Linked DNA regions of Callithrix jacchus. The protein of the gene in region 2 interacts with the protein of the main gene of each other region in a biochemical or structural test. Links are inferred from orthologs where the notes say so. Each region holds a gene or a part of one and is shown on either strand. Other genes may lie near its edges.

Region 1 (3,500 bases), on a different chromosome or scaffold from region 2:
AAGGAACTGCCTCTATTTCATTTGGAGATAGGTACACAAAGCACTCAGCACGTGCCTGGCATTATCAATGTATCATTATCAATGGCATTTCGAAGTGCCAGGTATTTCATATTTTACTTGTATTAACACATTTCATCCACATTACCATATGAGATAGATGTTATTATTCCCATTTTACAGAGCAGGACAGAGGCCCAAAAAGTTTTAAGCAATTCATCCAACTTGTGTAGTAGCTGACCCAGGTAGAGTTAAGGCTGAGAGGCAGAGGTAAGGTCCGAGGGAGGCCAGTTTCAGCTCAGCGGGAGGATTTTCTCACTGTTACAGGAGCTGCTTTCACCAGTAGTGAGGTGTGTCCCTGGAGGTGTGTGTGTAAGCTGGGCTAGTTACTGAGCATGTCCTGCGTTGGGCAGTGCGATTCCTGGGGTACCTTCAAGCCCTGTTACAACACTCAAGAACCAAAGCAGTCCCTGGGCGCCAGTAACTCAGAGTTGGAAGGAGGTGATGCCAGGTGTGGTGGCTCATGCGGGTAATCCCAGCACTTTGGGAGGCCGAGACTGGAGAATTGCTCAAGCTCAGGAGTGCAAGACCAGCCTGTGCAACATAGTGAGACCCTGTCTCTACAGTTTTTTTCTCTTTAAAGAAGGAGGTGATGTGATAGAGAGTTTGGAGGACTTCTTGTCCCCAGTGAGCTCGGAGCTTTGAGTCAGGGAGCCTGAACCTGTGAGTGGGTAAGCCACAGGTATTGGGCCAACCACAGGTCTGGGGTACCTGGCCTTGGGGCTGCTGCCTAGTCATTTCTGACCCAATTTTCCCAACTTTGCAGCCCGAGGAGGCAGAGAGAGTGAAGGCCCAGGCCCAGGCCCTGGGGCTGGCTGAAGCCCAGCCTGTGGCTGTGGTACAGTCAGTCCCCGGGGCACACCCCGTGCCAGTGTACGCCTTCTCCATCAAAGGCCCTTCCTACAGAGAGGTAAGGTTCTCCCCAGCCCTGGCCTCCCCTCCTGAAGGCCTGGATTCCACCAGGAAAGTGAAGTGGTGCCGAGGGGCGGGAAGCCAGGCCTTCATCAGATCAGCTGTTTGTGGGGAAGTGTTTGCTCAGCGCCTTCTCTATGCTGTCCCCTGTTCTCGGCTGCCTGATCTGGGAGCTCCCCATAAGCATGAACCACTCCCAGCACAGCAGGGGTGCTGAGACACTCAGGGCTGTCAAAGGCCAGCAGAGACTGGTAGACAGCAGATGGTGCCAGCTTGGGAAGGCTTCCTGTCTGAAGAGAGACATCTGCATGGCTGAGAGCAGAGGAGAGGGGACAACAGGAGCAAAAGGGTAGCCACAAGGCCCTGGCACCCAGGGCAGGCTGTGCCCACTCACCCCTTGAGGCAGCTGACCTGGCTTTGTGACTCCCTCTGTGCAGGAGGTCTCCAATACAACCACAGGCCAGAAGAGGAAGAGCATTCAGACCCAGTGCCCCAGGAAGGTCATCAAGATGGAATCTGAGGAGGGGAAGGAGGCGAGGTTGGCTCGGAGCTCCCCCGAGCAGCCTAGGCCTAGCACCTCTAAGGCAGTCTCACCACCCCACCTGGATGGGCTGCCCAGCGCCGAGAGCCCCGACATAGGAAGTGAGGTCATCCTGCCCAACAGCAACCATGTGGCCAGTGGCGCCGGGGAGGCAGGTAGGGAGGTGGGTAGGGGAGTGACCTGACCTGTGTGCTGTCTGCCAGGGTCTGGGTGGGCCCCCTCTTCTGTATTTTGGCCCCATCCAGAAAGCCCAAAGCCAACAGGAGTCCCTTATTCCCACTGAATAAGGCAGGGAAAGTTCACAGTGTGCATGGGGGTGAGGGTGGATACAGGTTACCACGTGCTTTGCTGTGATTAAGGTGTGGGGAGCCTGTCAGGCTAAAATGCACAGTTCTGTGAGTCCTTTCCCCAAAACACTAATCTTACAGTGCCCAGCACCATGCCTCTGCACAGGACAGGTCTCCACAAGAAATGTTTGCTGGCAGATGCCTCGTGCGCTCCCAGAGGGCTTGGGCACACCATCACAGGAAACTGGACTCCCCGTGACCTTAACTGTGCCCTCCCAGTCCACACCCATCATTTCCCCAGGTGTTGCTGCAAAGGCCACCTACCAAGTGTCTCATTTGTCTGAGTTATCCTCTGTGGACACCGCCAGGCAGGGAGTCAGCTGGACAGGAGTTGAGGTCCAACTCAGAGAAATCTGGAGCAAGAGTTCTTCCTGGATCTCTTCACCCAGACTACAGCTTTGTTCTTCATTCTAGGTCCCAGACTCAGCCCCAGCCCTGGTCACACACTGAGCATTGACTGATATTCCTTACCCACCAATGCTATTGGTCATCAATGGGTTTTGATTAACTAAATGAGGCATCTTTTAACTCTAGACATCCCAGCTGATGGAGCTGAGAATTGGGCCAAACCGCTGTGCTGCTTTAGGATTGCAGAAGGTTCCAAACCAGGTGGTGCAGGCCTCCTGTGCTGGGAGCAAATTCTGATTGCTGGGCAAATAACTTAATTGAATATTCATAGATAAGGTACAGCAAGAAATGATGGAAACCCATTTGTGAATTACATCCAAATGCAAAGCAGATTCAGACTGGCACACACAGTGGGTGTTCCCGTCGCCCTGCAGGGTATCCGTTGCCCTCAGTGCACTGGCCTGCAAGGATTCCCATAGGTGCATACCCACACCCCTCCCATTATGCGTCCTAGGCAGTAAGTAATTCAGCTCCCCTTCCCCATTTCAGAGGAGCGCATTGTGGTGATCAGCAGCTCGGAAGACTCAGATGCCGAAAACTCGGTGAGTGGCCCAGAAGTTCAGCCCAGGACTCCTGCCTACCCCCATTTCAGGTCCCAAGGGGCATAGCCACAGCAGGTGACTCTCAGATCTGCCTACGCCTGGGCAATTTTCCAGTGAGGCAGTGAGTCCCAAGCTGTGCTGATAACAGTCTCCAAATGCCAGCCGCATGCCTGGACCACCCCAGCCCTCCCACCACACCGGGGCAGGGGCCTTCAGTAGCCATATGTACTCCTCTGAAACGCTGATAGTGTGCATCCAGAACCCCGTCTCTTTTCCGGAATGTCCAGGGCCTTTTTCTGGAGCTCCCTTATGCATTTTCTGTCCTCTGAGTCCTCAGTGAGGAGGGCTGGACAAGAATGCATTTCCTAGTTAATTGCAGCCAGTGGGGGCCAGTGAAGGGGTGTGAGGCCACGGGGGAGCTGTATAGAGGCCAAGAAAATGAGGTTTGACTCTATCCATGTAAGAAAGAACTGTAAATCCATTCCACACTGAAACAAGTGGCCTCGTGGGTAGTGACCCTTCTGTCCCTGGAGGATTATTACTAGGAGCTGGGCTATCACCCGTCCAGGGGAAAAGGGGATCTGAATAGAGTGAAAGGATGGACTGGGTGGCCCCTGAGGTCTCTTCCAGCCCTCAGTCTGAGGTTCTGTATTGGAAAGTGCATGGAGCCCACGGAGACCGCTGAGCCACAGT
Region 2 (3,500 bases):
AACAGCTCTCTACGACCTCTGCCTCCCAGATTTAAGTAATTCTCCTGCCTCAGCCTCCCAAGTAGCTGGGATTACAGGCATGCACCACCACCCCCAGCTAGTTTTTGTATTTTTAGTAGAGATAGGGGTTCATCATGTTGATCAGGCTGGTCTCAAACTCCTGACCTCAAGTCATGTGTCCGCCTCAGCATCCCAAAGTGCTGGTATTACAGCCGTGAGCCTCTGAGCCCTGCCTGTTTGTTTGTTTGTTTGTTTGTTTGTTTGTTTGTTTGTTTGAAGAGAAAGAGATGGAGTCTTGCCATGTTGCTCAGGGTGCTCTCAAACTCTTGGCCTCAAGTAATCCTCTCACCTTGGCCTCCCAAAGTGCTGGGTGGTATGAAGTGTGGTGATACCAGGCCTAACTTTCTTGAGCTAATTATTTTAAATGAACCAGATTTACATTCCCTTTGAGTTTTTTCCCTTCCTTATTTTGATCGAATTTTTTTTTTAGTAATAGGTAGTTTAGAAATCAGAGCTTTGAAATCGTATTATTCTGGAAATGACCCAGCACATACTTGCTAATAGCAAAATGTTGATAGGTTTGATGTGTAGATAGTTGATAGGTCTGGATTGTCTCCAGGGAGTTACTTCTTTCATGTATTGATATGCTAGGCAAGAGAGGCTTGGCGTTTTTCTCCACATTGTATTGCCACCAGAGATAGATAATTCTGATTTTGTAGTGCTCATCTGATGGCACTGGAAGTAGCTTCAGGCCAGGTGCAGTGGCCCCCACCTGTAATCCCAGTGCTTTGGGAGCCCAGGGTCAGAGGATTGCTGGAGCCCAGGTTCAGGCCAGCCGGGGCAACACAGTAAAACTCTGTCTCTACAGAAAACTTAAAAATTAGCTGGGCATGGTGGTGTGCACCTGTACCTCCCAGCTTACTTGGGAGGCTGAGGTGGAAGGATCACTTGAGCCCAGGAGTTCAAAGCTTCAGTAAACTATGATCATGCCACTGTACTCCAACCTGGGCAACAGAGTGAGACCCCATGTCTTTAAGCTGGCCTGTCTTCCCGTTATTCAGGGCTGGAGTGCAATGGCGTGATCTCAGCTCACTATAACTTCTGCCTCTTGGGTTCAGGTGATTCTCCTGCCTCAGCCTCCCAAGTAGCTGGGATTAAAGTCACCCGCCACCATGCCCAGCTAATTTTTGTATTTTTAGTACAGACAAGATTTCACCACGTTGCCAGGCTGGTCTCAAACTCCTGACCTCAGTTGATTTGCCTGCCTTGACCTCCCAAAGTGCTGGGATTACAAGCATAAGCCATCGTGCCCGGCTGAGACCCCTTTTTTAAAAAAAAAAAGAAGAAAGAAAATAATTTGATAGTGGTTCACACCTATAATCCTAGCACTTTTGGGAGGCGGAGGCAGGCGGATTGCCTTGCTTAGGAGTTCAGGGCCACACTGGACAACACGACAAAACCCTGTCTCTACTAAAATACAAAAGAAATTAGCTGGGTGTGATGGTGCACACCTGTAGTCCCAGCTAGTTGGGAGGTTGAGGCAGGAGAATTGCTTAAACCCAGAAGGCTTAAGTTGCAGTGAGCTGAGATCGTGTCACTACACTCCAGCCTACGTGACAGAGCAAGACTTATCTCTAGGGGAAAAAAAGGAAGTAGTTTGATAGATGTGTTATCCTTTCAGAGTCCAAGCCATCTTCCCAACACCAGATCCCGCAGCTCTAAAGGATCGCCGCATGGAAAACCTGGTAGCCTATGCTAAGAAAGTGGAAGGGGACATGTACGAGTCTGCCAACAGCAGGGTAGGTAGCTGCTCACCGTGCTCTCGCCTCTACTGCATCTGTACTAGACAGCACTACATTTGTCTGGTTGTTATCTGGAAACAGTGGAATCTGTGTAGTTGGGAGAGACATGAGGCCACGGGCCAAGGAGACCTCCCAGATAAGACACAAATTTCCTGCACAACTCTCTTGGTTAGCTACATTGGTACATGGAGTATATAAATTTACATTATGTCCATGGGATATATTTTTCATATTAGGTGGTGATGTATTATTGCTAGCATCAGTGAATATTCAAGAAGTTGATTTGAGTGAAATGGAACATGTATTTAGTACCTACTATTTGACATGTCCTGTAAAATCATTGGGAATTGAGCAGGAGCGTGGGCTTCTGGTGCATCAGGTATTTGCATACTTTTGCCAGTGTACTCAGTGAAGAAGTTCATTAGTTAGAACCTACAACACAGATCATTCTGTTGCTTTTTACAGTTTTAACGGCTTCATATTGAATATGATTGCTTTTTAGGATGAATATTATCACTTACTAGCAGAGAAAATCTACAAGATACAAAAAGAACTAGAAGAAAAACGGAGGTCGCGTCTACATAAACAAGGCATCTTGGGGAACCAGCCAGCCCTACCAGCCCCAGGGGCTCAGCCCCCTGTGATTCCACAGGCACAACCTGTGAGACCCCCAAGTAAGCATTCCATTTCCTTCTGCCAATCCTTAGCCTGTTTCCTTGGTTTTCCTTCATGTTTGGGGTGTATTTCTAAGAATAGAGGATTAGTCTTTGACATGTGACCTATAGAAGCTGTTGATGTGGCAGTGGCCCTGACCACCTGCCTCAGGCCATGTTGGGACTCTGAGTTTGTCTCTTGGGAAGGCCCTTTAAAGGGTGCACCAGCATTGGAACACAAGTGTTTTTGGACTTGTTGGCTGTTTTTAAGTCTGAAGTCCTAATAAGAAATTTTCTGTTTATTCCCAGCTGGGCACAGTGGCCTATAATCCCAGCACTTTGGGAGGCCGAGGTGGGTGGTTCACGAGGTCAGGCGTTCAAGACGAGCCTGGCCAATACGATGAAACCCCATCTCTACTAAAAAATACAAAAATTCGCCGGGTGCGGTGGCTCATGCCGGTAATCCCAGCACTTTGGGAGGCCGAGGCGGGTGGATCACGAAGTCAAGAGATCGAGACCATCCTGGTCAACATGGTGAAACCCCGTCTCTACTAAAAATATAAAAAAATTAGCTGGGCATGGTGGCGTGTGCCTGTAATCCCAGCTACTCAGGAGGCTGAGGCAGGAGAATTGCCTGAACCCAGGAGGCGGAGGTTGTGGTGAGCCGAGATCGCACCGTTGCACTCCAGCCTGGATAACAAGAGTGAAAACTCTGTTTCAAAAAAAGAAAAAATACAAAAATTCTTGGGGCCTGGTGGTGCATGCCTATAGTCCCAGCTACTCAGGAGGCTGAGGCAGAAGAATCACTTGAACGTGGGAAGCAGAGGTTGCTGTGATCTGAGATCATAGCATTGCATTCCAGCCTAGGCAACAGAGCAAGACTCCATCTCAAAGAAAAATTTCCTATTCCTATTCCTGAATCAAGGATTATATTAAATAACTAGGGTGTTTTGTTTTTGTTTTTTTGCCACCATAGATGGACCCCTACCCCTTCCAGTGAATCGCATGCAAGTTTCTCAAGGTATTAACTATTTGCTGTGAATCA
Region 3 (4,013 bases), on a different chromosome or scaffold from region 2:
ATGATCAGATGTTCATAAACTCCTAGCAGCTTTGGTGCTGATCTTGAATTATTTCATTTATTCAACCAACATGTATTGAATAACAGGCACTGTGATAGGCTTAGAGTAGAAATAACTTCCTCATATTGAGTTTCTAATGTTTAGAGACTGCAAGGAGTTTAATGAGTGGTTTAATCTCATTTACTCCATATAATTCTCTCTGGTAGCTACTGTTAGTACTCCAACTTTGCAGATGAGAAATTTAATGATGGAGGTGACATAATCTGCCTCTAATTGCACAGCTAGAGAGTGGTGGGAGCTATGACTGGGTACTCAGTCATTTTTCCATGGATTTGAATTGAACCACTTAATAGAATTCTCACCGAAGAGTGATGTGCTGTGGAAAACCTGAGCAGAGGTATCAGCTTTCTAGCAGAATATTTTAAGGGGCAGGTGAGTAGGGTAAGCCCCTTCATTCTCTGAAACAATCACAGACTTTCAGTGAGAAAAATGTTATATGCCTTAGATAGAACCATAAAACTCACTGATGTGCATGTTTTTGCTGTTGTGTCCAGTGGGAATGATTCAGAGGAAGTCTAATGAGATGTTGCCCAGAAGGCAGGCACACATCATCAGTCTTACCTGTACAGTGCCTGCCTTTGAAAAGAGCACTTTATTTGATAATATGCAGGAGGCTTCACAGATAGCACCTCTTTCTCAGAGATCAACAATGGAGACTCTATCCTGATAGAGGCAGATGGACAGGACCATGTCGCCACTGCCATAGATGAATCCTATGCTATGAGTTTATTTTGTTTATTTTATTTTGTTTATTTTATTTTTTACCAGCAGTGTGGATGGTCTACTGAGAGCTGGGTCACTCTTTTCCTTGCCCTTTTTTCCAAATAGCCAATCTGGAGTCATGAAGCAGAGCTGTTCCCTATTCAAAGCAAAGTAAACTCAACCACCAGGCCCTCAACTCAAGCAACTGTTCTGACCAACTAGGATAAATGAGTGCAGCTAGACTAAGAGAAGACCTGCAGACAACCATGTGAACTTGTTTGGCAGACACCTGATGTACATCGTTATGCTGTGTGGAGGTTTAGAGTGAGTGTTTGAAGGGAAGGTGGGTGGTAGCTAGCTCTAAACCCAATACTGAACAAAGACAAGAGTTCTCAGAAACAAAAGATAGTTTGACTTTTCTTGCTGCAAGTTTAAGACCCAAACATTGTATTCCTTTCCTTGACTGTCATGAGCAATAAAACAAAACAAATATCTCCAAGTGTCCAAGAAAAATCTTCTGCTTGTAAATACGACCCTTGTGTTCTTAATGAAAATTCTGCTGTTTTCCTACATCATGCCTTTTACCTACATTGTTTTTATTTCTAATTTCCTTGAAAATCTAACATTCTAGATTATTTTATCCAACCGCTACGGCATTATCTGCATGCATTTCACAGCCCAGTCGGCGGTCTTCACAGGACATTAACAAAATCAAAGAAAACATTTGCTTTTAAGAACTAGGAGGGGATTTTATGGTATCGAAATGAACCCTGAACCGTGGACCTCAAACATTCTCACCCAATTTAAATTCTCTGTACATTTCAGAATTCAGTTCAAACACTTCTGCCTGGTCTTCCTAAGTTTACTCTCAACATTAAAATATGTATATACCACATTCAAAACTGGATGAGTTTCCCAGCAGCCTCATATACATAGAGTTGCTCTGTAAGCCTATTAGATCTGACACATAAAGGCGTTAAAAATCTGGCACCTTTAAGCAGGAACCATTGCCATGATCACAAGTCCTGATAAAGCCCAACCCTTCTATCAAGTAAATTGCTTTAAAATGTTTTAATCACGTCGGCTCCTATGGACTTGAGAGAATACTGGTTATCTTCTTGACAAAGCATGAAACTTACAGTTCAACGAGCATTTCCTAAGACATGTGGCATGCCTCTGACCAAAATGAAAGTATTCTGCCCTGTCTTGTGACTGCCACATCATTACCCGAGTAGCCCACTGCTATATGTGGTGAAGTCATTATGCGTGTGCCTTTGAGAGGCAAAAAGGAACCGAGAAAATGGGACACCAGGACTCAAAAGAACTTGCTTAAAATCAGAGGCCAATTTCAAGACAGAATCGTTCATTCTTGTGCTGCTGGACGTGTAGCTTTTCAGAAAACTTGACTGCCTTTAGGAAACAAATAATGGATCATTCACATCTTTTAGTTCAAACTCATATAAGTTATGGCTCCAAAGATTAAGAAAACAGGTAATGTGTTCCTGCTAGTCTGAGATTTCTCTAATTAAGAACTTTTAAAATTCTAACACAGCTCAACAACACGGTGTCTCCTAGCTAGTGCTGGATCCGATAGATATATGTTATCTGGAGCAGACAGGCAGCCTGTGTGTGCTGTACTAAGAACAGGGTAGTCGGATTGCCCTCTGCCTCAGCTAAATATTATTCTAGAAGTGAATTTCCACTGTACCAAGTTTAGATTTCACATTTTATCATCCTAGGAATACTTGCCAGTAAGTTTGCAAAATATCCTTGGAGCAGAAAGAGGAAAAAAATGAACATTTTTTAAAGATGAGACGTAAGCTCTGAAGTTACAATATGCTTGTAAACAGTAGCACATTATATCAAAAAGGAAAAAATAAATTGAGAAGAAATAGGAGTACCTACTTGAAGAGAAGATTATCACTCAGAGACTGTCTTCTTATGCTATAGAATGGGCAGGAGAAAGGAGCATGGACCTTTCGAGCCTGTTAAAGAGCTTCTGAGCATGGAGCCTGCATTTTCAGTTTTGGTAAAATCCGTTCTGACTCGGTAGACAGGAGGCTGTTATGACCATGAAATTAGGAAATGCAGTAACTCAAAAATAAAGAACTAGCACCACCATTTGACTAGGATTGGAAAATCTCATTGAAAACATAGAGGAGGGGGTGGCCTTGCTTTCTCCAAGCCCGGCTTGAATCTAACTTTCTTAGCACTTCCACTAAAATGGATGTTCAAAAAGAGGTAAATCATGTGTTAATCTGCCTGAAATTTTTTTACGCCCTCCAGCCGATTTTTCTCTTTATTCCTAATAAAGCTCAAAGTCTAGACAGGCGTGTGGGGCTGGAAAAAAAAATAAAACATTCATTCAGCACATAAATTTTGTTAATCCAAAGTTAGCTAGAGCTAAACTAAAAGCAGGGGTAAGGAAATGTCTTCTGTTAGTGTTATTTGGGAATTTCTTACTCAGGCATGGACTCAAAAGCCGGCTCTGCACTTCCTGTTACTGATTAATTAGGTTCTTGACTTCGGTAACCTGCACAGGTCTAGCTCCTTACGCTCTTTGGTCCTTAATTTCTGTCGCATGATCCTTCCATAAACTGTCCGGTATTTCCTGCAGCAATTTTTAAATTTATGTGGTTATTGATTGTTTGTTTAACACTAAGATACACATTTTAAAGTAGAAAAAGGGCTGTAAAATCATATTAAAATTTTTTAATAACATTGAAATTTTAATATCTCATCATGTCTGCTGTGGTTTATGCAGTATGTACTTTCAATGATTTTTTAAAAATATTTTCGCTTTTTCTTCTTTACAAGTCTTGAAAAAGGCTGGTTTTCTGGAAGTGAGAATGATAGAGGGGGCAGAGGAGGAATCTCTCTCTTGCTATTGTATTGCTCTCTGTCCCAGTACCCAGTACAGAGTGACGTCTGCCAAGTAAGCTACACCTCAAAACTGTCATGGGAAGGAAGGAAAACCAAAAGAAATAATCAATGCTTTAAAACATTTTGAAATAAATGATCTTAACTGTCTTCAATCTTCTCTATACTTGTCAGTTAGCCCATAAAATAATTTGAATATGTTAATTTGCCTGAGAGAAGCTTCTCCAGAATACAGAGAGCAGGACACATTTTAGTTAGTATGTAAAGTATTTAATTTCAAGTGACTGAACATAAAATCTCAACAAGATTCACTTACACAAGGAATAATCACGTATACTAACGCATTGCAGGGGTTCTGTAAGCATTTTTAT
Region 4 (3,500 bases), on a different chromosome or scaffold from region 2:
ATTAAATTGGAAATGACAGTAAAACTTTTTTCTAAATGATGATCTTGAGCTGATTTTAAAGTTTCATAAGAGACTGCTAATAATTAAGTTCCATAGGATATTTCAGTTGTTTCATTTAGTGGATTCGATATTGTTAATGAATTTCTACAACAGTTAGGGAGTAGGATGCACTGATGAACTGCTTTATTAATTATATGTTAAAACAACCATTTATTGGGTTTCATGCCTGCCACTGTGCTAAGTGCATGAAAGTAGATAAGAAAAATCCTACTCTCGAGGAATTATTTACTAATGGGACAAGTATTAATACATTGTATAGTTAATGCTCAATGTATTAACACTTGTCAGAACCAAATAACTTCAGAAGGAATTTAACATTTTCCTACTTACCTGTTTTTAAAAATATTAACAGCTGTTATTATAAATTATAATGCAGTTCATAGAGTGCATTTCTATTACAGAAATTGAATATGAGTTTCCTGAGAAGCAGGTTACTTGAATATATCACACCTTTCTTGGTGATGTTATTTGCTATAATTTCTCCTAGATTATTTTACAAATTATTCTACATTGGATTTAGTATGTTAAAAGTTTTATATGGTATTTTTAAACTTGTAACTATAAAATCCATTGGATTTTAGTTGCCATTACCCAGGGAGGAGCAATACAGCTGGCTAACAATGGTACCGATGGGGTACAGGGCCTGCAAACGTTAACCATGACCAATGCAGCTGCCACTCAGCCGGGTACTACCATTCTACAGTATGCACAGACAACTGATGGACAGCAGATCTTAGTGCCCAGCAACCAAGTTGTTGTTCAAGGTAAGGGAATTCAGAATTCACAGGTGTGGTAAATTCTTCAAAATACAAAAATATTGTAAACTCACAGAAAAAGTAAGTATCATTTTGCAAAGCACTGTTCAAATGTAGTTAACATTTCTTCAATATAGATAGTATTTTTCCATGAACTCTTCCATTATTCCAATTGGACCAAAATGTCATGGCATAAAAACAACTATTTTCAGTTTTAAAAATATTACATCTGCATTTAACACCTTTATCATTTGGGGTAGAAGAAACAGGGTAGGTTAGAAGGAAAGACCAGGAAATCGGGAGTTAAGAAAGATGGATTCTATAACTAACTGCATGGATCTGCTATGACACCTTGAGTAAAACCCAGCTTCTCTGGGCCTCAGAAAAGTATTTTGTTTGTTTCATGTGTCAAATAAGAGTTGCACTAAATCTCTGAAAAGAATCTTCGGAAGTTCAGGATTCTGTTTCTCTGCCTTTTATCCAAAAGAAATTTAAATCTTATTTGCTAAAATCATCAGTTTTTATTATCATTATTATTATTATTTTCCTAGAGACAGGGTCTCGCCATGTTGCCTAGGTTAGTCTTTAAATCCTGGCCTCAAGCAGTCCTCCTTTCTTGGCCTCCCAAAGTGGTGAGATGCCTCTCCACTTGACCCAGTTTTTATTTCATATGAAAGCAGTATATTCAACAAGAACTTATACCAATATGCAAATTTGCTGCTCTTTAGAGAAAAAGTAGTCGTTAAATTTTTGACAAATTATAGAAGTTGCTTTTTTGGCTGTTTGTTTGTTTTTGCTTTTTTTTTTTTCCTGTGTATTTCAGGACTCTTTATGGATAGCAGTTAACCATTTTTCTTTGATTTGTTTGAATATTTGAAGAACATAGTTAATGCCAGCTTAGAAATTTGCTGACTGAGGAAATAATAATAAATTTGTTTCTGAAAATAAATTTGTTTCTGAAAATATTTTTATAAATAATAATGCATTTAGCCTGTGTTAGGTAATGATAGTTGTATTCTTTTACCATGGATAATTGAATAATCCTGAAACACCATCTGGAGAGAGTCATAACTTATTTAAAGAACCCTGATGTTTACAGAATATATTCTGTTATTAAACAAGTATTTGAAAAAGATAACATTTTGCTTATTGATGAGAGTAAAACACCTTTTCACTTTACATGCAGGTACTCAAAAATTGTAAAGCAGGATGTCAGTGAATTTGAATTCTGAACGTCAGTTTGAAGATGGTAACATGTTTAGTATATAAATCTTTTCCACTCAGACCATACATTTTAATTGATATTAATAATTAATATGATTAATTTTATGAAGACCTTCAAATTCTTTTAAGTAACAGGTTGCTTATTCTTAGGAGAACATATTATTATGCTGTCTTTAGAAGCAGTTTGACAAATAGTGATTCTGTTTGTTTTTACAAATGGTGCATCAGTTAGAAAAATAAAACTTCAGTTTATTTAGCCATTATCATTTACATTAAAACAATATGTTTTCAAATAATATAATTGGTATCAAGTGATACACTTTCTCATACTTTCAGTTTTGTTTTAATTAGAAATTTATAATAGTTGACCATAATGCTTTATTTTCTTTTTCATTTTGCTATTTTATGAAAAATCATGGTGGTTTTTATGTCGTGGCAAGAGTCTACTTGAAATTTTTTAATATGAATTTACCAATATCAGAGGAAGACATTGAGGACTATACTCTATCTAGGAAGATCATCCAAGCTGTGTCCCACTTACCTTTTAGACTTAAGGTTGGTAAGCATGTTAATGACAGAATAGAACTGCATTCAAATGAAAAATACAGTATAAGATCCAGCAGATATAGGTTACTGTAATAAATACATTACATTGGGAATTATTTCTTAGTAAGGGTGCAAAGAGTGCTGATTCTTTCAATACTTTAGCCAGAATCATCTTTTCTTTTTTGTTTCCCTTTTAGTCCAAAATACATGCTTAGATTGATGATTGATATATATAATTGAATCAAGTTGCAATGTTTCTGTCTTACACCATGCTCACTATTTTTTTCAGCTGCCTCTGGAGACGTACAAACATACCAGATTCGCACAGCACCCACTAGCACTATTGCTCCTGGAGTTGTTATGGCATCCTCCCCAGCACTTCCTACACAGCCTGCTGAAGAAGCAGCACGAAAGAGAGAGGTCCGTCTAATGAAGAACAGGTACATAGACTGCATTGACTTAGACTGTTGTGGGTCAAGTATGTCTTCACATTCTGCTGGATGTGTCTTTACATCTACTGGTAATAGGATCTTTGCATTTTTTTTTCCTGGCAGAAGTAATGGATCTTGCTAAATTTTCTCTATTTAATAAGCTGCACTTATATGGCTATAGGATTATGGGTCAATCTTTGATTATGGAATAGTTTTCTTTCATGCAGTTTCCCCACAGCAGATGTAATGCACAACTTTCCTATGTTTGCACTCCAGCCAGCTAGCCGGGTTACTTTAAAATGGTTTTATTTCATATGTAGTATTGTTCAAGAAGATCAAGAGTTTCATATATATGTATTAACTGTGTGTTAAGTTTTATCTGTATTAAATTTACTTGATATAAAGTAAATGTATGGTGGCCAGATCATGTTTTAATGAATATTATCTTTGCTCAAAATAATAACATTTTAATATCTAAAAATTC
Region 5 (3,500 bases), on a different chromosome or scaffold from region 2:
ATCTACTTATTTCAGAATTTGTATTAGGAAACTGTAAAATACTGTACAAGATGAAAAAAAAAACACCATTCACAGAATGTTAAAGGTTGATAGCCAACACATATTTTACAGTGTGTCTATCTGTAGGATCCCATGCCAAGCAGTGAGAAACAACGCATGCCTCCCTGACCCCTAAGATTTAAAAAGGTAAGTTTGGGGAGGAAATGAGTATTCAAAATGATCAGGAGGAAGACATTTAGGGGACAAAAAAAGAACTTGTAAAAATAAAAGATACACAAACTAAAGTTTTTTTTTTTGAGATGGAGTTTTGCTCTTGTTACCCAGGCTGGAGTGCAATGGCGCGATCTTGGCTCCTGGGTTCAGGCAATTCTCCTGCCTCAGCCTCCCGAGTAGCTGGGATTACAGGCATGCGCCACCATGCCCAGCTAATTTTTTGTATTTTTAGTAGAGACAGGGTTTCACCATGTTGACCAGGATGGTCTCGATCTCTTGACCTCGTGATCCACCCGCCTCCACCTCCCAAAGTGCTGGAATTACAGGTGTGAGCCACCACACCCAAGTTTTTTTTTTTTTTATAGGTTTCTCTCTCTGAACATTTTATTTATGAGCTACTTAAAAGCAAAACATATTTTTTTTTTTTTGAGACAGAATTTTGCTTGTTTTCCAGGCTGGAGTGCAAAGGCGTGATCTCGGCTCACTGCAACCTCCACCTCCTGGGTTCAAGCAATTCTCCTGCCTCAGCCTCCTGAATAGCTGGTTCTACAGGTGCGCGCCACCATGTCCAGCTAATTTTTTGTATTTTTAGTAGAGATGGGGTTTCACCATGTTGACCAGGATGGTCTCGATCTCTTGACCTTGTGATCCACCTGCCTCGGCCTCCCAAAGTGCTGGGATTATAGGCGTGAGCCACCGCGCCCGGCCCAAAACATATTTTCTTAATGTTTTGAGGCTGAGGAATGATATCTTATATGTGGGTCTTTTTTGTTTGTTTGGTTTTTTGATACAGAGTCTTGCTGTCACTCAGGCTGGAGTGCAATGGCACCATCTCGGCTCACTGAAACCTCTGCCTCCCAAGTTCAAGCAATTCTCCTGCCTCAGCTTCCCAAGTAGCTGGGCCTACAGGCTCATTTTGTAAGTTTAGTAGAGATGGGGTTTCACCATGTTGGTCAGGCTGGTCTCGAACTCCTGACCTCAGGTGATCCACCCACCGTGGCCTCCCAAAGTGCTGGGAATACAGGTATGAGCTGCCACACCCGGCCATACGTGGGTCACTGATATTTACCTGCTTCACACTTAAAATGGAAAAACAATCACATGCTGCAAGATTCCCAGTTTACTGCCAACTTCCTGGTGACAAACCCTACCTTTCTGGGTCCTCTTTTCAGCTGATGCCTGTGAGGCCATGTAAATAGCTGCTGCTGCCACAGAGATGGGGCTCCTCCCGGGAACCAAGTCCAATTCCACAGCTTTACGGGCTATATGTGTAGCTGCCATCTGCACTTGTTTAGGAAGACAAAGATTGGAACAGAACCTGGACATAAAGTCCCCAGTTGTAATCAAATCCACACTGGTTTCTAGTGCTTTCAAAATAAGTTTAAAACACCGACCAATTTCTTTCTTAGAAATTCGTGATACAGCACATATTTCTAAAAGAAAAAAAGTTTAAATATGTCAATTATTTAAGCCATATAGTTCATTTTAAAATCTACCATTTCTTATTATAAACATAATATCCATTCTAATTGCAAAACATTCAACCATGCCTTAAAGATGAAACCCTAATCCTCTCAGTGATACTTCCCACAGAGGTAACTGCAAATTTCTCAGTTAACTTTAATGTTCACCACACTTTGTTTTTGAGACAGTCTGTCGCCCAGGCTGGAGGGCAGTGGCATGATCCCGGCTCACTGCAACCTCCACCTCCCGGGCGCAAGTGATTCTTCTGCCTCAGCCTCCTGAGTAGCTGGGACTACAGGCATGCACTACCTCGCCTGGCTGATTTTTGTATTTTTAGTAGAGATGAGGTTTCACCATTTTGGCCAGGCTTGCCTTGAACTCCTGAACCTCAGGTGATCCACCTGCCTCGGCCTCCCACAGTGCAGGGATTACAGGTGTGAGCCACTGCGCCCAGCCTAATGTTCTTCACTCTTTAAATTTAGGTCTTAATCTTTCAAAATACTAACTTCTCTAAAGATTAATTCATGCAAGTAAATTTCTTTAAAGAAAAATTCTTTGATATTTACATATTAATCTGTTGTAAGCAGTGTGTTATCAAGATGAAAGAAGCTAAAGAGTGTCTCTTAGGCAACACAATGTCATGTGTACATGAAATCCCTGCGATTATGAGCTATGTCTCGATGAGAAAAAATACCTGACCGTGTTATTCCCAGATGCAACCACCATACACTTTCTGAAGAAATTTAACAAAAGCCCTGTTGTACTTATAACAACAACAAAAAAAATGATCAAGGCCATCACCTCTTCACTTTTACATAAGAAAACGTAAAAAATACTGACTGGATGAATGAAGGGTAGTATAGTCTTCAGCTAAACTTGAGCTTTGGTAGTGAAAGTCAGTGTGCAACATTGTGAACTACTGGTCACGTATTCACATGTAACTGCAAACTAGATGAAAAATACCAGTTTTTTCTAAGCCTCCAACTGAAGTGTAAAAGTGCAAACAATATATCTCAAGAGAAAAAACTTCACTGACATTTTCTTTTTCTTTTTTTTTTCTTTTCCTGAGACAGATTGTTGCTCTGTCATCCAGGCTGCAGTGCTGTGGCATGATCTCAGCTCACTGCAACCTCCGCCTCCCGGGTTCAAGCAAATCTTCTGCCTCAGCCTCCCAAGTAGCTGAGAGTAAAGACAGACACTACCACACCTGTTAATTCCAGCACTTTGGGAGGCTAAGGCGGGAAGATCACCTGGTGTCAGGAGTTCGAGACCAGTATGGCCAACATGGCAAAACCCTGTCTCTACAAAAATTAGCTGGGCGTGATGGCACGTGCCTGTTATCCCAGCTACCCAGGAGGCTGAAGCAGGAGAATTGCTTAAACCTGGGAGGCGGAGGTTGCAGTGAGCCAAGATTGCACCACTACACTCCAGCCTGGGTGACAGAGCAAGATTCCATCTCAAAAAAAAGAAAAAAAGCTAAAAACTTACCTTTAAATGTCCTAGGAACCCCTTCTTGTCTACAGGCAATATAGAGACAAGCGGAAGCTATAGCATCGTTAGCTCTTCCCTTCAGGCTCTTCTGTTCATACACTTGCTTGAATAAATTATTCGTTCGATCCTTCAAAGCAGAGAAACTAAGTTTAACTCTATGCTATTTAATTAGTTGCAATATCAAAATTTCATGTGTTCGTTAAATTATGCCAAGTCAATGCCAGAATGGCTTAGAGGAGGTAGACAAGAACTTACAACTATATTTCGAGGTAAATTGATTCTGTCTGCCATGGTAGTGATTTCTTTGAATGCATTCATCATTGCCCGATCAG
Region 6 (3,500 bases), on a different chromosome or scaffold from region 2:
GGGATTTCATTTCCTTTGGGAGGACGAGATGAGTAGATTACTTGAGGCCACGTAAGTTCAAGACCTGGCCAACATGGTGAAACACTCTCTCTATTAAAAATACAAAAATTAGCTGGATGTGGTGGCTCACACTTGTGGTCCCAGCTACTTGGGAGAAGTGTCTTTTTGTAAAGTCATTCACATTACCAGTGTTTGTTTTTTTACAGAAAAATTTTGAAAGACTTATCTTCTGAAGATACACGGGGCAGAAAAGGAGACGGAGAAAATCCTGGAGTTTCTGCTGTCACTTCTATGTCTGTTCCAGCTCCCATCTATCAGACTAGCAGCGGACAGTACAGTATGTACAGGAATCAATTTCCACATTATAAACGTACAAAACCTGACTTCTCTGTAGAAAGAAGTGGTGTTAGAAAAATTGCCATACTTCAATAGTGATGATTGATTAAAGGACATTTTCAGCCAGGAATAATGAGAAGTACTTTTTCAGCATTATTTCATTTATTCCTACAACAACTTTGTGACATAGGCAGTTACATAGGCAGTTATTAATGTATGAGGGAACTGAGACCCACAGCATTAGATACTGGATTTGTTTTTTTGTCTTTTTATTTTGGAGACAGAGTCTCGCTCTGTCACCCAGGCTGGAGTGCAGTGGCACTGTCTCTTGGCTCACTGCAACCTCCGCCTTTCAGAAGCGATTCTCCTGCTTCAGCCTCCCAAGTAGCTGTGATTACAGGTTCCTGCCATTGCACTTGGCTAATTTTTGTATTTTTAATAGAGATGGGGTTTTACCATGTTGGCCAGGCTGGTTTAGAACTTCTGACCTCAGGTGATCCTCTTGCTGCGGCCTCCCAAAGTGCTGGGATTACAGGCGCCACCATGCCCGGCCTGGATACTGTTCTTGAAGTCACATAGCTTGTATATGATGGAGCTGGGATTCAAAATTAGATTTGTCTGAGTCTACACATATAATTTGACCTCAAACTATACTGCATCTTACAAATTTTTCTTTTGGATGCCAGCCAGTTATGTCTATTACCTTAATTCCAGCAGAAATTACTGTATGAAAGATTAAATATAAATGTTGACTTTCCAGTGTGAGGTTAAGGAAATTTGGATCAGAAAGAGGATAGAGATTGTTTTGCAGTGTGATTTACAGAGTTCCCACCATAAACAATAAGGAACTGATCAACTTTAATAGAACACTAAATCTGCATCTCTAAAAGTGTTGCTATGAATATTAGTCAGTACACAGAACAAAGTGAGCACCTTTTGGTTTACAGCATCCCACCTGGGGGCTAGGTAAAGTTATAAAGGAAGCAAATGTGGTCCTAGCCTTTGAGAGGAAAGCTTAGAGTCAGGAGACAGAGTGATAGAACAGAAATACCTACACAAACAAATATATATATCCTCACTGATGATCAACAGCAGTCTATGGATTAGTAATTTGTACTTAGGTTAACACGTAGGTCGTTTCCCCAGTAATTTAGTGAATGAGGTCTACTGGTTTATTAAAATGACATTTGGCAAAATTAACGAGGTAATAAATTGTTTATTTTTAAGTTTAATTTCTAGTTTTGCTTCCAATCTTTTTTTAATGAAAAATTTCAATTACACAACAAAGTTGAACAAATTACACACACATACATATCTTTTTTCAAAAATTTTTTTGGCTTTTGTATCTTTAGCTCACTGATACAGAAATAGGATGAAAGTGGTATTTAATATAATATACATTTAGATCTGTTTTGTTCATTGTCTTGGGTTTTTTTTAAGATGGAGTCTCCTCACCAAGACTGGAATGCAGTGGCACAGTCTTGGCTCACTGCAACCTTTACCTCCCAGGTTTAAGTCATTGTCCTGCCTCAGCCTCCAGAGTAGCTGGGATTACAGGTGTGTGCCACAACACCCAGCTAATTTTTGTACTTTTAGTAGAGACAGTGTTTCACCATGTTGGCCAGGCTAGTCTCAAACTCCTGACCTAAAGTGATTCACCTGCCTTAGCCTCCCAAAGTGCTGGGATTACAGGTGTGAAGCACCACGCCTGGCCCCTGTCCATTCATTAAAAATCTTTATTGTTTGATTTATATACAGTAAAATTCACTCTTTGGGGAGTTTAAGTCTATGAGTTTTGACAAATGTATAGAATAGTTTCACACCATCAATCGAGATGTAATTCTATCACCCTAAGGAATTTACTAGTGCTGCCCATTTGTTATTACTCCCTCCACTCCTAACATTAATCTTCGTCTCATTCAGTCTTGCCACAATGTGTATGTCCCATCTGACCACCTCTGGCCATCTCTAACCACCACCACCTTGATTTAGACTCTGATCTGAATTACTGGAGTAGGCATCCAGTTGGTCATCTTGCTTCCATTCTTGCTCTAATCATCAGTTTTCCATACTGTGGCCAAAGTGATTTATTTAAAATGTCAACTAGATCACATCACTCCTGCTCAGAATCCTCTATTGACATCTTATCATACTTAGAATAAAATCTCAGTCTTACAAGGCATTGCATTTAGGATCTGCCTACCGCTCTGACCTCATCTCCTGCCACTTGATGGCATTCTGACCACCCAGCTTCCTATACTGTACCTCAGACACACGAAGCTTGTTTCTGCCTCAGAATCTCTGGAGTTGTCACTGCTCACGCCTGGCATGTTCTCCCAGATCCCTACATGGCTTGCATCCTATGCCCCTGCTCTGCTTAAGTGTCACCTCCACAAAGCGATCACTCTTTTTCAAACATGTGTCTCCTCCCTTTAGTTTTCATTAACAACCTGCATTTTTCTTTATAAATTTACATATAATTAAAAGACAGTATATATTAGTTTAATTACAGATTGTATGTATGTAATTATAGATTAGCTTATTTATTATCTGTTTTCCCCACTAGAATATAAGGTCCTTAAGGGAAAGAACCTTATTTGTTTCATTCACAACTACATCTTCGACATATAGGACCCGGCAAGTAGTAGGCTTTCAGTTACGTTTGTTATGAATAAATGAATTAAAGAATGAATATATATATTCTTGAGAAACTGGGAGCCAGGCATGCTGGCTCACGCCTATAATCTCAGTACGTTGAGAGGCTGAGGCTGGAAAATTACTTGAAGCCAGGTTCAGGACCAGCCTTGGTAACATAGCAAGACTGTGTCTCTACAAAACAGTAAATAAAATAAATGAAGAATTAGCTGGGCATTGTGGCATGTGACTAATCCCATACACTCAGGAGGCTGAGGTGGGATCTCTTGAGTCCAGGAATTCGAAGTTACTGTGAGCCGTGATTATACCACTGCACTCCAGCCTGGGCAACAGAGCAAGACCAGTCTCAGGAAAAGAAGAAAGAGAGAGGGAGGGAGGGAGGGAGGGAGGGAAGAAAGAAAGAGAGAAAGGAAAGGAAGGAAGGCAGGAAGCTAAGCACTGGTTGCAAGGAAAGAAACTTGGAAGCAGAGATCAGAGGTAGGGGGGACATTCACATGTTATCATTGAAA
Region 7 (3,930 bases), on a different chromosome or scaffold from region 2:
GAAAGGTAGAAACGTAAATGTTTGGGGCTTGAAGTCAGAGGGTTTGGTTTTGAATCAAGGCTCCACTGATGGTGCCTGGTAATCACTGACTAGTAACTTCTTTCTTGAACTAAGATCAGTTTTTAAATTTCTAAATGAGAGAGAATAATTTTAACTTCAATGAGTTGCAGTGTAAATTTAAAATGATACGATGAATCAAAAGTGCTGGGCCGGGCGCGGTGGCTCAGCCTATAATCCCAGCACTTTGGGAGGCCGAGGCGGGTGGATCACGAGGTCAAGAGATCGAGACCATCCTGGTCAACAAGGTGAAACCCCGTCTCTACTAAAAATACAAAAATTAGCTGGGCATGGAGGTGCTCACCTGTAGTCCCAGCTACTCGGGAGACTGAGGCAGGAGAATTGCTTGAACCCAGGAGGTGGAGGTTGCGGTGAGCCGAGATCCTGCCATTGCACTCCAGCCTGGGTAACAAGAGCGAAAGTCCGTCTCAAAAAAAAAAAAAAAGGGGGGGCTTATCACAGTACTCTCAATAAATAGCTATTAGCCAGGTGCAGTGGCTCACGTCTGTAATTCCAGCACTGAGAGACCGAGGCGGGAGGATCATTTGAGCCCAGCAGTTCAGAACCAGCCTGGGCAACATGGCGAAACCACATCTCTACAATAAATATAAAAAATTTTCCTGGCGGAGTGATGCACGCTTGTAGTCCCAGCTACCTGGGATGCTGAGCCGGGAGAATCACCTGAGCCCGGAAGGTCGAGGCTGCAGTGAGCCAAGATCTTGCCACTGCACTCCAGCCCTGGTGACAGAGCGAGACCATATCTCAAAAAATAAAAGACTATTTTTAAAATATTGTTTTCATTACCTCAGCCCTCCTCTTCCTATCCCAAGACGTCGAAATTCCGGTCCCACCCCTTCCCATGGGGCCCTTGGCGTCTCCAGAGTCCTCAAGCTAGTTTCGGTTCCTTGGCCCACGCGCGGGTTCTCGAAAATCAGCTGTTTCAGTCTTGGGCTAGTCCACTAATTGGACTCCTCCCCTCGTAGGCAGCGCCTATTTGAGCTTCTCCACCAATCGCTGGAACTGGAGGTGTGGTTTCGGCTCAGCTTGTCCCGCCCCACGGATGGGGCGGAATTGCGGCGGCGCCAATGAGCTAGCAGTCTGGTAAGGACTTGACTGATGGCAGTGTCGGGGTGGTGGCTGGGAAAGGGGCAGCTCCGGACTTCAGGGCCACCTTACAAGGGGACGGATCCGAGGGGGTTGGCCGAACTTGTAGGCGGGGCGGGAGGCTCTAGTACCCGAGATCCCTCTAGGCACGGGAAGTCGCGACCAGAGCCACTGGAGGGCGCGGGGACTGCCACCCCTAATCAGGTACGGGCCCTGAGAGTGTGTGCTGGGGTAGGGGTGGGGGTGAGAGTGAGAATTCCTCCCAGGGAAGGGCGACTGGCCTCAGGGGTTACGTACGCCCTGGAGGGGGCAGCCTCTGTCCCCAGGTTGAAATAGGAGCTGTCGCCGGCTCGGTCTTTGAACTTCTCCTGCCGAGCTTATCTCCCCAACCCTAATGGCCCTCTCCCCAAAGTCCCCTGAAGCTTCCGAGACCCGGAATCTGGCCTTATGTTGATTCGGTAGCTGAACCAAAGTTTTTGCCTCTGCTCCGCATTATGTTTTGTCTTCACCAAAATAAACGATGTCCAAAGATAGATTAACCTGAAACACAAAAACAAAACAAAAAAACAGATAGATGAATCTATCATCTTTATTTGTTTCGTAAAAAAGTATAAGCTCCTGAAAGATAAAACGATTACCTAAGGTCACACACAAAATTCAGTTCATTTCAGAAAAGCTTCTTGAGTGTAAAATATGTGCCTGAGAGTGAGAGATAACGAGAAAAAACTGTCTCAGCCCTTAACCTCAGTGTTTGCAATCCATTTGGGGAGACTAGGTTTTTTGTTTTGTTTTGTTTTAATATTTGAATCTTTGCTTCCTTGTGCGTTTCATACTAAACACTTAAATCCTCAAGAATTGAGACCTCATCATTAAAAAAAAAATTTTTTTTAAGAGATGGAAGCTCACTATGTTGCCTAGGCTGATTTCAAACTCCTAAGCTCAAGCTATCCTCCTGTCTTGTAGGCCTCCCAGAGTGCTGGGATTACAGGCATGAGCCACCACGCATGGCCACCTAATCATTTTTTTAACTTATATTTTTTTGTATCATAACAGCAATACAGTTACATAGTTTTAAAAATCAAGCACTACTAAAAGGTTTAAAATGAAAATAGCCCCTGCACAATCCCTCCTTTCCCTTGTTTCTACTTCCAGAGGTAGAAAGGCAGCTGATGTTATTTATGTTAGAGTACTGTCCTACCCCAAGCATTTCTCTTTACTTTGTAATAAAATCACGTGACCTTTTTAGACCACAAACATGCATAAATTCTGTTCTGTTAGGCTCAGATTGCAACAAGTATAAGTTTCAGTTTCCTAAATAGACACCAGATGTCAACGAACAGGGAAAGATGGGGAGAAAGATGCATGGCACAGCCTGCTTGGTGACAGGCAAACCTGTCTTTGTGACAAGCAAGAAAAAAAAAAACATTTTTTTTTTTTTTTCTGAGACAAAGTCTTGCTCTGTTGCCCAGGCTGGAGTACCGTGCATGAACTCCACTAACTGCAACCTCTGTCTCCTGGGTTCAAGCAATTCTCCTGCCTCAGCCTCTTGAGTAGCTGGGATTAGGCGCCGACCACCAGGCCTTGCTAATTTTTTTGTATTTTTAGTAGAGATGGGGTTTCACCATGTTGGCATGTTGGCCAGACTGGTCTTGAACTTCCGACCTCAAGTGATCCTCCCACCTAGGCCTCTCAAAGTGCTGGGATTACAGGCGTGAGCCACGGCACCTGGCCTAAAAAAACAAATTTACATAAAGTATCAGGATCTCACAAAGTTGATAACCCATAATCATATTCAAGATTCATAGGTCATAAAAGTGTCATATTCTTTTTTTTTTTTGAGATGGAGTTTTGCTTTTGTTACCCAGGCTGGAGTGCAATGGTGCAATCTTGGCTCACCGCAACGTCCACCTCCTGGGTTCAAGCAATTCTCCTGCCTCAGCCTCCCAAGTAGCTGGGACTACAGGCGAACGCCACCACACCCAGCTAATTTTTGCATTTTTAGTAGAGACGGGGTTTCACCTTGTTGACCAGGATGGTCTCGATCCCTTGACCTCATGATCCACCCGCCTCAGCCTCCCAAAGTGCTGGGATGATAGACATGAGCCACCACGCCCAGCCTAAAAGTGTCATATTCTTAGGGATTGAGCAATCCATTGCACAGCATTTAGATGTTTTCTAGAATGGAACTCCTCCTTCCTGTATAGAAGGTGGTTTATAGGGTATACTTACCTGACCTCCAAAAAGATTTAGCTCCTAAAAAAGCTTCAAGTGGCTGCGTGTGGTAGCTCATACCTGTAATCCCAGCACGTTGGGAGGCCGAGGTAGGCAGATCACCTGAGGTCAGAAGTTCAAGACCAGCCTGGACAACATGGTGAAACCCCATCTCTACCAAAAATACAAAAGTTAGGGGGGCATGGTGGCAGCCGCCTGTAAGCCCAGCTACTTACTGTAAGCCACCTATAAGCCCAGCAGAAGAATTGCTTGAACCCAGGAGGCGGAGTTTGCAGCGAGCCGAGATCATGACACTGCACTCCAGCCTGGGTGACAAAGCAAGACTCCGTCTCAGAAAAAAAACAAAAAAGCTTCAGGGCCAGCAGAGATCATGCTGTAAAAAATACTTAATATCAACACTGATCTTTAAATGCTTTAGCATAAGCAAATATAAACAACAAATAAACACATAAATGTAAAATAAATTAATTAGGCAGATAGATGAAATAAGATAGTGGAAATAGCAATGTTAAAGTTGAATGGTGATCCTTGTGGTAT

The links.
Region 1: the proteins of CREBBP (region 2) and PML form a complex in vitro, tested with the Homo sapiens proteins (2 studies listed by BioGRID). The link is inferred for Callithrix jacchus from reciprocal best matches to the Homo sapiens genes CREBBP and PML.
Region 3: the proteins of CREBBP (region 2) and ESR1 form a complex in vitro, tested with the Homo sapiens proteins (2 studies listed by BioGRID). The link is inferred for Callithrix jacchus from reciprocal best matches to the Homo sapiens genes CREBBP and ESR1.
Region 4: the proteins of CREBBP (region 2) and CREB1 form a complex in vitro, tested with the Homo sapiens proteins (15 studies listed by BioGRID, with this or other methods). The link is inferred for Callithrix jacchus from reciprocal best matches to the Homo sapiens genes CREBBP and CREB1.
Region 5: the proteins of CREBBP (region 2) and GTF2B form a complex in vitro, tested with the Homo sapiens proteins (2 studies listed by BioGRID). The link is inferred for Callithrix jacchus from reciprocal best matches to the Homo sapiens genes CREBBP and GTF2B.
Region 6: the proteins of CREBBP (region 2) and ATF1 form a complex in vitro, tested with the Homo sapiens proteins (2 studies listed by BioGRID). The link is inferred for Callithrix jacchus from reciprocal best matches to the Homo sapiens genes CREBBP and ATF1.
Region 7: the proteins of CREBBP (region 2) and STAT2 form a complex in vitro, tested with the Homo sapiens proteins (2 studies listed by BioGRID). The link is inferred for Callithrix jacchus from reciprocal best matches to the Homo sapiens genes CREBBP and STAT2.

Annotation. Positions count from the first base shown.
Region 1 is NC_133509.1:20,936,633-20,940,132, forward strand, and holds part of PML (protein PML), read left to right. Parts: intron 1-823; coding exon 824-967; intron 968-1,406; coding exon 1,407-1,665; coding exon of another isoform or gene 1,666-1,673; intron 1,674-2,754; coding exon 2,755-2,807; intron 2,808-3,426; coding exon of another isoform or gene 3,427-3,500.
Region 2 is NC_133513.1:5,892,137-5,895,636, reverse strand, and holds part of CREBBP (CREB-binding protein), read left to right. Parts: intron 1-1,681; coding exon 1,682-1,799; intron 1,800-2,304; coding exon 2,305-2,476; intron 2,477-3,431; coding exon 3,432-3,476; intron 3,477-3,500. UniProt on the Homo sapiens protein: Acetylates histones, giving a specific tag for transcriptional activation. Mediates acetylation of histone H3 at 'Lys-18' and 'Lys-27' (H3K18ac and H3K27ac, respectively).
Region 3 is NC_133505.1:158,537,463-158,541,475, reverse strand, and holds the start of ESR1 (estrogen receptor), read right to left. Parts: upstream 2,801-4,013; 5' UTR 2,668-2,800; intron 1-2,667.
Region 4 is NC_133507.1:129,038,895-129,042,394, forward strand, and holds part of CREB1 (cyclic AMP-responsive element-binding protein 1), read left to right. Parts: intron 1-641; coding exon 642-824; intron 825-2,001; exon of another isoform or gene 2,002-2,024; coding exon of another isoform or gene 2,025-2,064; exon of another isoform or gene 2,065-2,594; intron 2,595-2,874; coding exon 2,875-3,025; intron 3,026-3,500.
Region 5 is NC_133508.1:126,085,752-126,089,251, forward strand, and holds part of GTF2B (transcription initiation factor IIB), read right to left. Parts: coding exon 3,424-3,500; intron 3,296-3,423; coding exon 3,166-3,295; intron 1,647-3,165; coding exon 1,365-1,646; intron 1-1,364. UniProt on the Homo sapiens protein: General transcription factor that plays a role in transcription initiation by RNA polymerase II (Pol II). Involved in the pre-initiation complex (PIC) formation and Pol II recruitment at promoter DNA.
Region 6 is NC_133510.1:68,761,333-68,764,832, reverse strand, and holds part of ATF1 (cyclic AMP-dependent transcription factor ATF-1), read left to right. Parts: intron 1-206; coding exon 207-337; intron 338-3,500.
Region 7 is NC_133510.1:63,281,051-63,284,980, forward strand, and holds the start of STAT2 (signal transducer and activator of transcription 2), read left to right. Parts: upstream 1-1,130; 5' UTR 1,131-1,158; exon of another isoform or gene 1,159-1,365; intron 1,366-3,930. UniProt on the Homo sapiens protein: Signal transducer and activator of transcription that mediates signaling by type I interferons (IFN-alpha and IFN-beta).